2 linked regions of the Xenopus tropicalis genome follow. The protein of the gene in region 2 purifies or fractionates together with the protein of the main gene of each other region. This does not show direct contact. Links are inferred from orthologs where the notes say so. Each region holds a gene or a part of one and is shown on either strand. Other genes may lie near its edges. The genes, in order: eif3b and eif4e.

Region 1 (3,829 bases), on a different chromosome or scaffold from region 2:
AAGACTGGAATTTAAAAATGAAAAAGGTTTAACCTTTAGATATCCCTGTCAGACTGGAAGGCTGACCCAATCTGAATATTAGCCAATATTTTGGCCACACTGAAACTTGCTTTAAGTCTAAAACTACAGACTGCACAACAGCAATAGATTTTCATTAAAGAGTTAATTTCAAAATGCAAAATTTGCTAAATTATCATTAATAGTGGACACTACAAATGTAAGAAATTCTTTCACATTTCCAAGTTGTTGAATATGAGAATACAAACTGAAGTTGCACTTACAAAATCTTTAAATGGTTGTTTTTCAGGTGCTTCCCACTCATCTCCAATAACCATGTACCTGTGAAACAGAGTGGAAATGATCATGTATGTAAAGTTGAAAAAAAACAAAAAACAAAAAAAACCAAACAAACTGCAAAGAGAATGCAAAACATAAAGACGCACTTGTCAAAGTCGGTGAAGAGATTCACGCGGAATGTGTGTTGCTTGTCCAGTTTGTAGCAATCTGCGTTCTTTACTGCATCTTGTGCCTGAGTTGGCAAAGCATACTCCAGAAAAATGTATCTAAAAACAAAATGTTAAAAATATATTTAGTTGGTAATCAACCAAACTTAAAACAAAACTTGAGCACAATAACATTCAGCTTTATAATACTCTTTAGCCCATAAATGAAATTAAACTGTTTAAGATCCTGCTAACAGTGTAACAGAAATGTCAAGCCATCAGTGTTTCACATACTCTGGGAGAAGCAAAAGGCTGGTAGGCTTTCTTGTCTATTATGGTATAGGTATGTATACATTGGCATGGGTATTTAAGACTGTAACTACAATATAGCATCTGTGCAGATACTTTGCAACTGTTTCTTGAACTGTGCTGCCTGCCAACGGTGAGGTTTGCAAGCAGTTTCAGTGAGTGCCAAGCAGACATCTGTATATACTCGAGTATAAGCCGAGGTACCTAATTTTACCTAAGAAAACTGGAAAAACTTATTGACTCAAGTATAAGCCTAGGGTAAGAAATGCCGTCGCTACTGCCAAGTTTCAATAATCAAATTATTTAATAAAAGGACACTCACAAGTGCATGACTACCATTAATAAACACAAGGTATGGGCTGGAAAATGAGGCGCATCCAACATAAGATAACCATATGCAAGGTTGTACAGGTTAATATCTCATTTAATTTTACATACATATTGGCACGCCGCTTCCCCCCCCCCCCGTGCGCCACCCCAGGTCTCACACATGAAAACAAAAGTGATGTGGACAGTGGATTGCAAGATATATTTTATTTTTTATCAGACTCAAGCAAGATAAACTTGGTTATATGTAATAATAAGGCCCCATTTTGACCCACAATCAATTGTGGAGGCAGTAGGCTACTCAATTAGGCCAAACTGCTGTAAGGCACAGGTTGGGAAAGTAGTCAATGGGGGATACTGTACATTGTTCCTAGGTTTGTCACTTATACATGGTGAGGGGCTCCAGGGTAAGTGTAAGAAGCTTCAGCAGGCTTAGGCTGGGGGGGGAAGCCTGGGAACTGGCTGCATAGAGAGATGGCGTCTCCCTGAAGAGCTGCTGCAAAGCATAAGTAGCTGGGAGGTACAGCGCTTACCTTGTTTGGGGCAGAGGAAAGTCTTGTTTAGACCCCTCTTTAGTGTAGGTAATGTCTCTTTTATATGGTGCTTCCTTGTCCTACGGCGCATCCCTTTGGCAATGACTTGGGACAAATGCAAACTTACTATATACTCGAGAATAAGCCGAGGGTTACTTTTGGAGCATGTTTTTAGTGCTGAAAAACTCTGCTTATACTCGAGTATATACGGTACTTTTCGCTCCTTCATACAATCTAACTACAGTCAAGCAGTTACTGAATGAAACTTTAAGGTTTATTGCCACAGCATTTTTTTCAGCTGGTGGAGAATAGGCCATGTGTGCCACGGGCATAATATTAGCATGTTGTGTGTTACATTAACAACAATTTTGGTAGTTTATTTTTTTGCTTGGCGCAAGCATGTTAAGCACATGTTAACACTCATAACTGGTCCTCAATGACCTATAGTCAGACAATTAACACTCACAAATGCAGTAGTGAGCTACAGACCCTGACCTATGAATTCATTGGTATAGTCAAGGCAATTTCCACTGAGGACAAATAATGGGCAATACACAGAGTTTTGTGGCCACCGCTCAAGTTAGATCGCAATACACAGATAATTGCCCACTGTGCCGTTTTCCTTATTTTATCTGTTCAGTTGTGTCTACATACCCCCTGGTGGTGCCTTCTGCTTCTGGATAATATTCATTGGTAATTTTACCAAATTTGGAGAAAATTTTATTGATGACATTTTTGAGTTTTTCCAAGCGGTCAGGTCCAACCTGTGGCACATTATCTACCACAACTACAGAGTCAATTCCATCTGCCTCTTGAGGACGGTCTTTCAGGATATCACCAAGCAACTCTGGGGGAAAAAAAAAAAAAAAAAAAAAAAGACATATTAAAACTGAAAAAGCTTAATATTGTCTTCTGCTTCAATGTTTTAATTTGATTTCCACATATAACTATTTGAAAGAAAATTGAAAGCATACACTGAAATTTTATTTGGTGGAAAATAGTCAACCTCTGACATAATCCATGACAAAATCCAGTTTTAAAGTCAGCTGCTTAGGGAGGTACTATCATTACAACACCAATACAGACCGCAGGTAGCACAGTCAATAATGTGAACAGTTGTTGCCAACACAAAAAAGTTTACATAAGGTTCCCATGCTAAAGCTGGCCATACACGTGGCGATCCGACGATGTTTCGTACGACCATCGGTCGCACGAAACATCGTCAGATCCGCCACACACCATTCAGGGCTGAATCGGCAGGTAAGGAGGTAGAAACAATAGGATTTCTACCTCCTTCTGCCGATTCAGCTCTGAAGGGAGAATTTTGGTCAGGCGCCTTCTATGGCGCCCGATCAAAATTTTCTAACCTGGCCGATCGACGAGCCGACCGATTTCAGCAGCTTCCTGCGACATCGGTCGGCTCGCTGACATACCATACACGCACCGATTATCGTACGAAACGAGGTTTCGTACGATAATATCGGTGCGTGTATGGCCACCTTTAGGAGACATTTAGACAGACAGCCCATCTGATATTACCCAAAACAAGAGCATCATAGTGTTCTTTAGTTTACTGGATTTAAACAAGACATGCAATTAATGTCATAATGCAAAATATCTAAGATAGTGCCTAAGCTTTATTAAAACTTTGGAGGTGTTAACTGGAAAGACTACAATCACCTGCTTCCATTATCTTGTCATCAGGTTCTACTTGTGCAGACTGGGAGAGTTTCTAAACAATAGGTTACATTCTGACAAGTTAAAAAAACATGAAGATGTAGTATATATTATATAAATACATATCCACAGTAGTCCATTTTGACCACACTGCTCAACAGGTTGCAGGATATTCATTCATGATAGCCCCTTACCTGCCATACATTTACAATCTCATCAGACAGCAGATTTCAGACAGGTTTGAACATCAGCAAATACATAATGCATCAGTTGGTATGGAATTAAAGAGAATATGCAATTCCCCTTTACTTATACAGTTCCAATCACCTAGGTCATTGGTCCAAAAAAATGGAACAGAGGGTGGCCATGCAAGGGGATAGCCATTTATCAGATATCTATTTTGTGCCCACAAGTCAATTTTGTTGGATACTGGACAATGTATCCTAATCTTAATTTAATACATTGTTGAATGTTCTCACATGCATTAAAATGGGACACTTTGTACCAGATGTTCCTTAACTGTGGGGGCAACACCACGGG
Region 2 (3,829 bases):
GCAACTCATCGGCTTAAGAGTTCAGTGATGTAACCATAAGAACTGCAGATGGCAAAGGGACAGTATGAGCATGATTTCAATGAAACTACCTATTATTTTAAGCTAATGGTGCTCTCCTGTTAGCAGAAAACTGCACTGGCTCTGGGTACATGCAAGTTAGTGATCCTCTTCCTGCTTCTTAATTCGTGCTGAGTACGCATGCATAGTAGAGTGAAAAGCCAACCTTTAACAAAAAAAGCCATTTTTTTCGCTACTGCACATGCATTGGCCCCAGGATTTTTAATAAAGAAGGGGAGAAAAGTATCACTTGCTCACATGTACCCTGAGCCGGGACAGTTTCCTGTTAACAGAAGCACTGGTCAGGGGTATCAGGTTAAGTGATTACAATCACATCCAAAGAGTAAAAATGAAAGAACCTATACTTTGAAAATCCAAGGTTGTTCTTAGCAACCGTGTGATCTGTAAACCTAAGACGCTGGCAGCAGGTAGAAGGGAGAGGATAAAGAGCTTGTTTTTTCTCCTGAAATTGGGGGGTTGTGGGTGAAAGAAGGAAAACAATATTTTTTTGCTTATTATAAAATAAATACATAAAATAAATAAAAAGCAATTTTACATTAAAATAGGTAAAATATTCAAAGCACATCTTATTTATTATGCTTATGCTCAAAAAAAAATACTTACGCCCAAAAATCTTCAACTGTATCAAATTTTGAAATTAGGCGAAGGTTAGCCTGCCAAGTTTTGCTTTTGTCATTTTTGAAGAACCAAAGGGCCCATCTAAAAATTTCCAAAAAGTTAATTGTTAATATCTCTACACATACATAGACACATTGTTTAATGAATTTTTAAAGCCCTCCAATCATTTTTGTATTTAGTCTCAAGGAAGGAGGTCCCCATAATCCAGCTGCTACAAGTCCAAAAATAGCATTTTTCAGATACCGACTGGCTGACCACATTTATATGCACATATTCCCACAATAGCACACAGTGCTGCAAGTTTAATATGAATGCAATGGAGACGGCAGTTATATAGTTTGTTACTTCAGGTACCATGGCTTTAAAGAGACCATGATTTGATATTCACTTTAAAAAAAAACCATGTTAATTACATGCAGTCCGCTGTATTGAACAAGCATGCTTAATATTTCTGTATGCATACAATACCAATATTCCATATCTGACTTTCCTTTAGGTTATGGTACAATTTGCTGTTTAAATGTCATATAAATTATAATTATTTACAGACTGCACCCTACCAAAAAGAACAGACTGCATTGTGAAATCTCCAAGGAGTCTTATCATATAAAAGAAAAAAATACATCTCTCAGCCTGCCCTTCTACAGCCATATAAACATGCTGGTACTTGAAGCAGCTGGTTTCTCAGAGAATTTCAACACAGCTCAATGGAAGGTGGCATCAGTCAGAGCAAAGCAGGTGCAGATACATAAACCATTCTGGTCTTACTTACTACATTCTAGTTTCTTTTAAGTAGAGAACATTTTGGCTTAACAGATGTTCAGCAACTAGTCTATACTAGCAGGGCACGGCATTGTTTTACTCTTGGGACATATGAATTTTGATTATAAAACCTCAAGTAAGCCATATTTTAACAGGCCAGGTTAGAGACATGTGCACCGCATTAACACTGCAATGTATACATTGTAATTTACCACTCAAAAAAAGAAATTAGTCTGACTCAGTTCTACTCAATCTACAGAGGTTATTAGTTAACCTAAAATGTAATTATAGTATATAAACTGTCTTTAAAATGGCATTATTCATGCATAGCACATTTGCAATATGGATTTTTTTACCTGTTCTGTAGTGGATGCTTAATGTACTGATCGGGGCTTACAATCTCCTGACTAGTCTCTGTTTTTTCCTCTTCCGTAGATTGGGGATTGGTACCCTCCTAACAAAAAAACAGGGAAACATTTAAATCCAGTTAGTTCCGGTTTGCAAAAACAAAACAAAAAAAAAAAAAGTCAAAAATATTGTTCAATACAGAACGTGAAGTTGTGTATCCCATATTCTGGAACTTTGAGTAGTACAATATGAATGTTAAATTTTCGATTTGGTGTTGGGAGCGTGATGCTCGATTTTTAGAAATATGCCTTGGACCACAAGGCTTGTTTAAATCTAACAGTCTTAATTGTATATTTGATATTTATTAATAGTACTTCATAATGTATTGACAATGGGATGTCATTTCTGTGGTTATCTATGAGAACTAAGATGGTGGTAAAACAAGATTTATTTGCCTCATCTTTTTAGCGCCATTTAAAAAGTTGTGTAGCTCTGCCCAGCGAAGGCTGACAATATGCCCCATGCTTAAAAAAAAAATCTTGTTGTGCCTGCGTCTGGAAGCATTGATTCCACCCCGGGTGCAGGCACAGGCAGCAAATATTGGGCAATTCCAAGTCTGGCGTTAGTTGGCGGATATTGGCCGTGTGTGCCTGCACCCAGGTGGATTCAATGCTTCTCGGAGCAGGCACAAAAAGTTTTTTTTAAGCGTAAGGTGTATCGTCAGCCTTTGCTTATCCGCAGGCTGATAATACACTTGTGTGACCTTACCCATAAGTTGGCCATACACATTAAGATTTTTAAAAGATCTCTTCATTTTCGTAAGACCAAGCTTATCCTGAAACAATCATTTAAAAGTAACATCTGCTCATCAACGAAAAGGACCATTATAAGCAATATCATCTAGTTGAAACTAGAAAAATGACCTGTTTGGTCCTACAAATAATTGGACAATGGTCAAATTTCATTGTTAACAACGAAAATTTTCAAACCTGCCCAATCAATTTTCTGACCAATGTTGGAAGAAAAACTGCTATATCCACAATCGTTCGGTGTCTACTAACTTTAGAATAATTTGGCCGATTTGTTGAATTGCAGTGAAATTAGTCGCTAGGGAGAGAAAAATCTCAACGTATATCACCAGCTTCAGGGTGGTTTACAATCTCTAATTTAAAAACACAGACTTGCACACCACCAAGAGTGGTAACCACACATTTCTAGATCAGATTTACTTTTCAATCTTCTAGGTCTCAGGTTACTTCAACATTTTTTCTTTCACTTAATGTATTTTTTCAGTTCTCAGCTTTTTATCAAAAAAGGTCTGGGAAACTACTTAAAATACAAGGAAGAATGGATGGTGCAAAATAGGGAAAAACTACTGCAAAAGAACTCCAGATTTTCACAGAGCAATTATCTTAAACACAAGGTGGCCAAAATTACACTGGAGAAGCACAAAAAAAGTGAATGTCCTGCACAGGCATGGACCCTTGCTATCTATCCATCTGAGAATCCGTGACACTATTTTAAAACTAAGGTGCACTAATATTCCATCCAACAAACTTGAATATGGAGAAAATCTTCCTGGAAGAAACTATCAAACTGTACTCCGGCCCATGTACTTCACTGTACAGAGAATACTCGGAGATGAAGATCTGCTAAGATCATAAGCGAATAGCTGTTTTAAGATTAGAATTAAAAGAAATAATTCACTTGATCAAACTAAAGGAGCAGATTTTTGACAACTCTAAAAACGTTACACTGATATATAGTACTAAATAATTAGCTATGCATCAGATGCTAGAACTACATAAATCAATTTTTTCTCATTTTGCGAACACATTTTTAAAAGTCTCTGGTATGTCATCCCCTGGACCTCATTTCCTGCAGAATACACTATTTTGCCCTCCAAAACAGATGATTCTCAAAGGGACAGCCACACCAACTTTTAGGCTTGACTAATTTAGGAGTGAAGACACCCTATCATCCCTGGGAAATAAGGTCCTAAAGATGACATACTGATGACTTG

Evidence for each region.
Region 1: the proteins of eif4e (region 2) and eif3b purify together in Homo sapiens (affinity purification with western blotting; 5 studies listed by BioGRID and IntAct, with this or other methods). This does not show direct contact. The link is inferred for Xenopus tropicalis from reciprocal best matches to the Homo sapiens genes EIF4E and EIF3B.

What each region holds. Positions count from the first base shown.
Region 1 is NC_030685.2:31,110,469-31,114,297, reverse strand, and holds part of eif3b (eukaryotic translation initiation factor 3 subunit B), read right to left. Parts: intron 2,460-3,829; coding exon 2,267-2,459; intron 564-2,266; coding exon 444-563; intron 340-443; coding exon 282-339; intron 1-281.
Region 2 is NC_030677.2:74,898,941-74,902,769, reverse strand, and holds part of eif4e (eukaryotic translation initiation factor 4E), read right to left. Parts: intron 1,913-3,829; coding exon 1,815-1,912; intron 778-1,814; coding exon 682-777; intron 1-681. UniProt on the Homo sapiens protein: Acts in the cytoplasm to initiate and regulate protein synthesis and is required in the nucleus for export of a subset of mRNAs from the nucleus to the cytoplasm which promotes processes such as RNA capping, processing and splicing.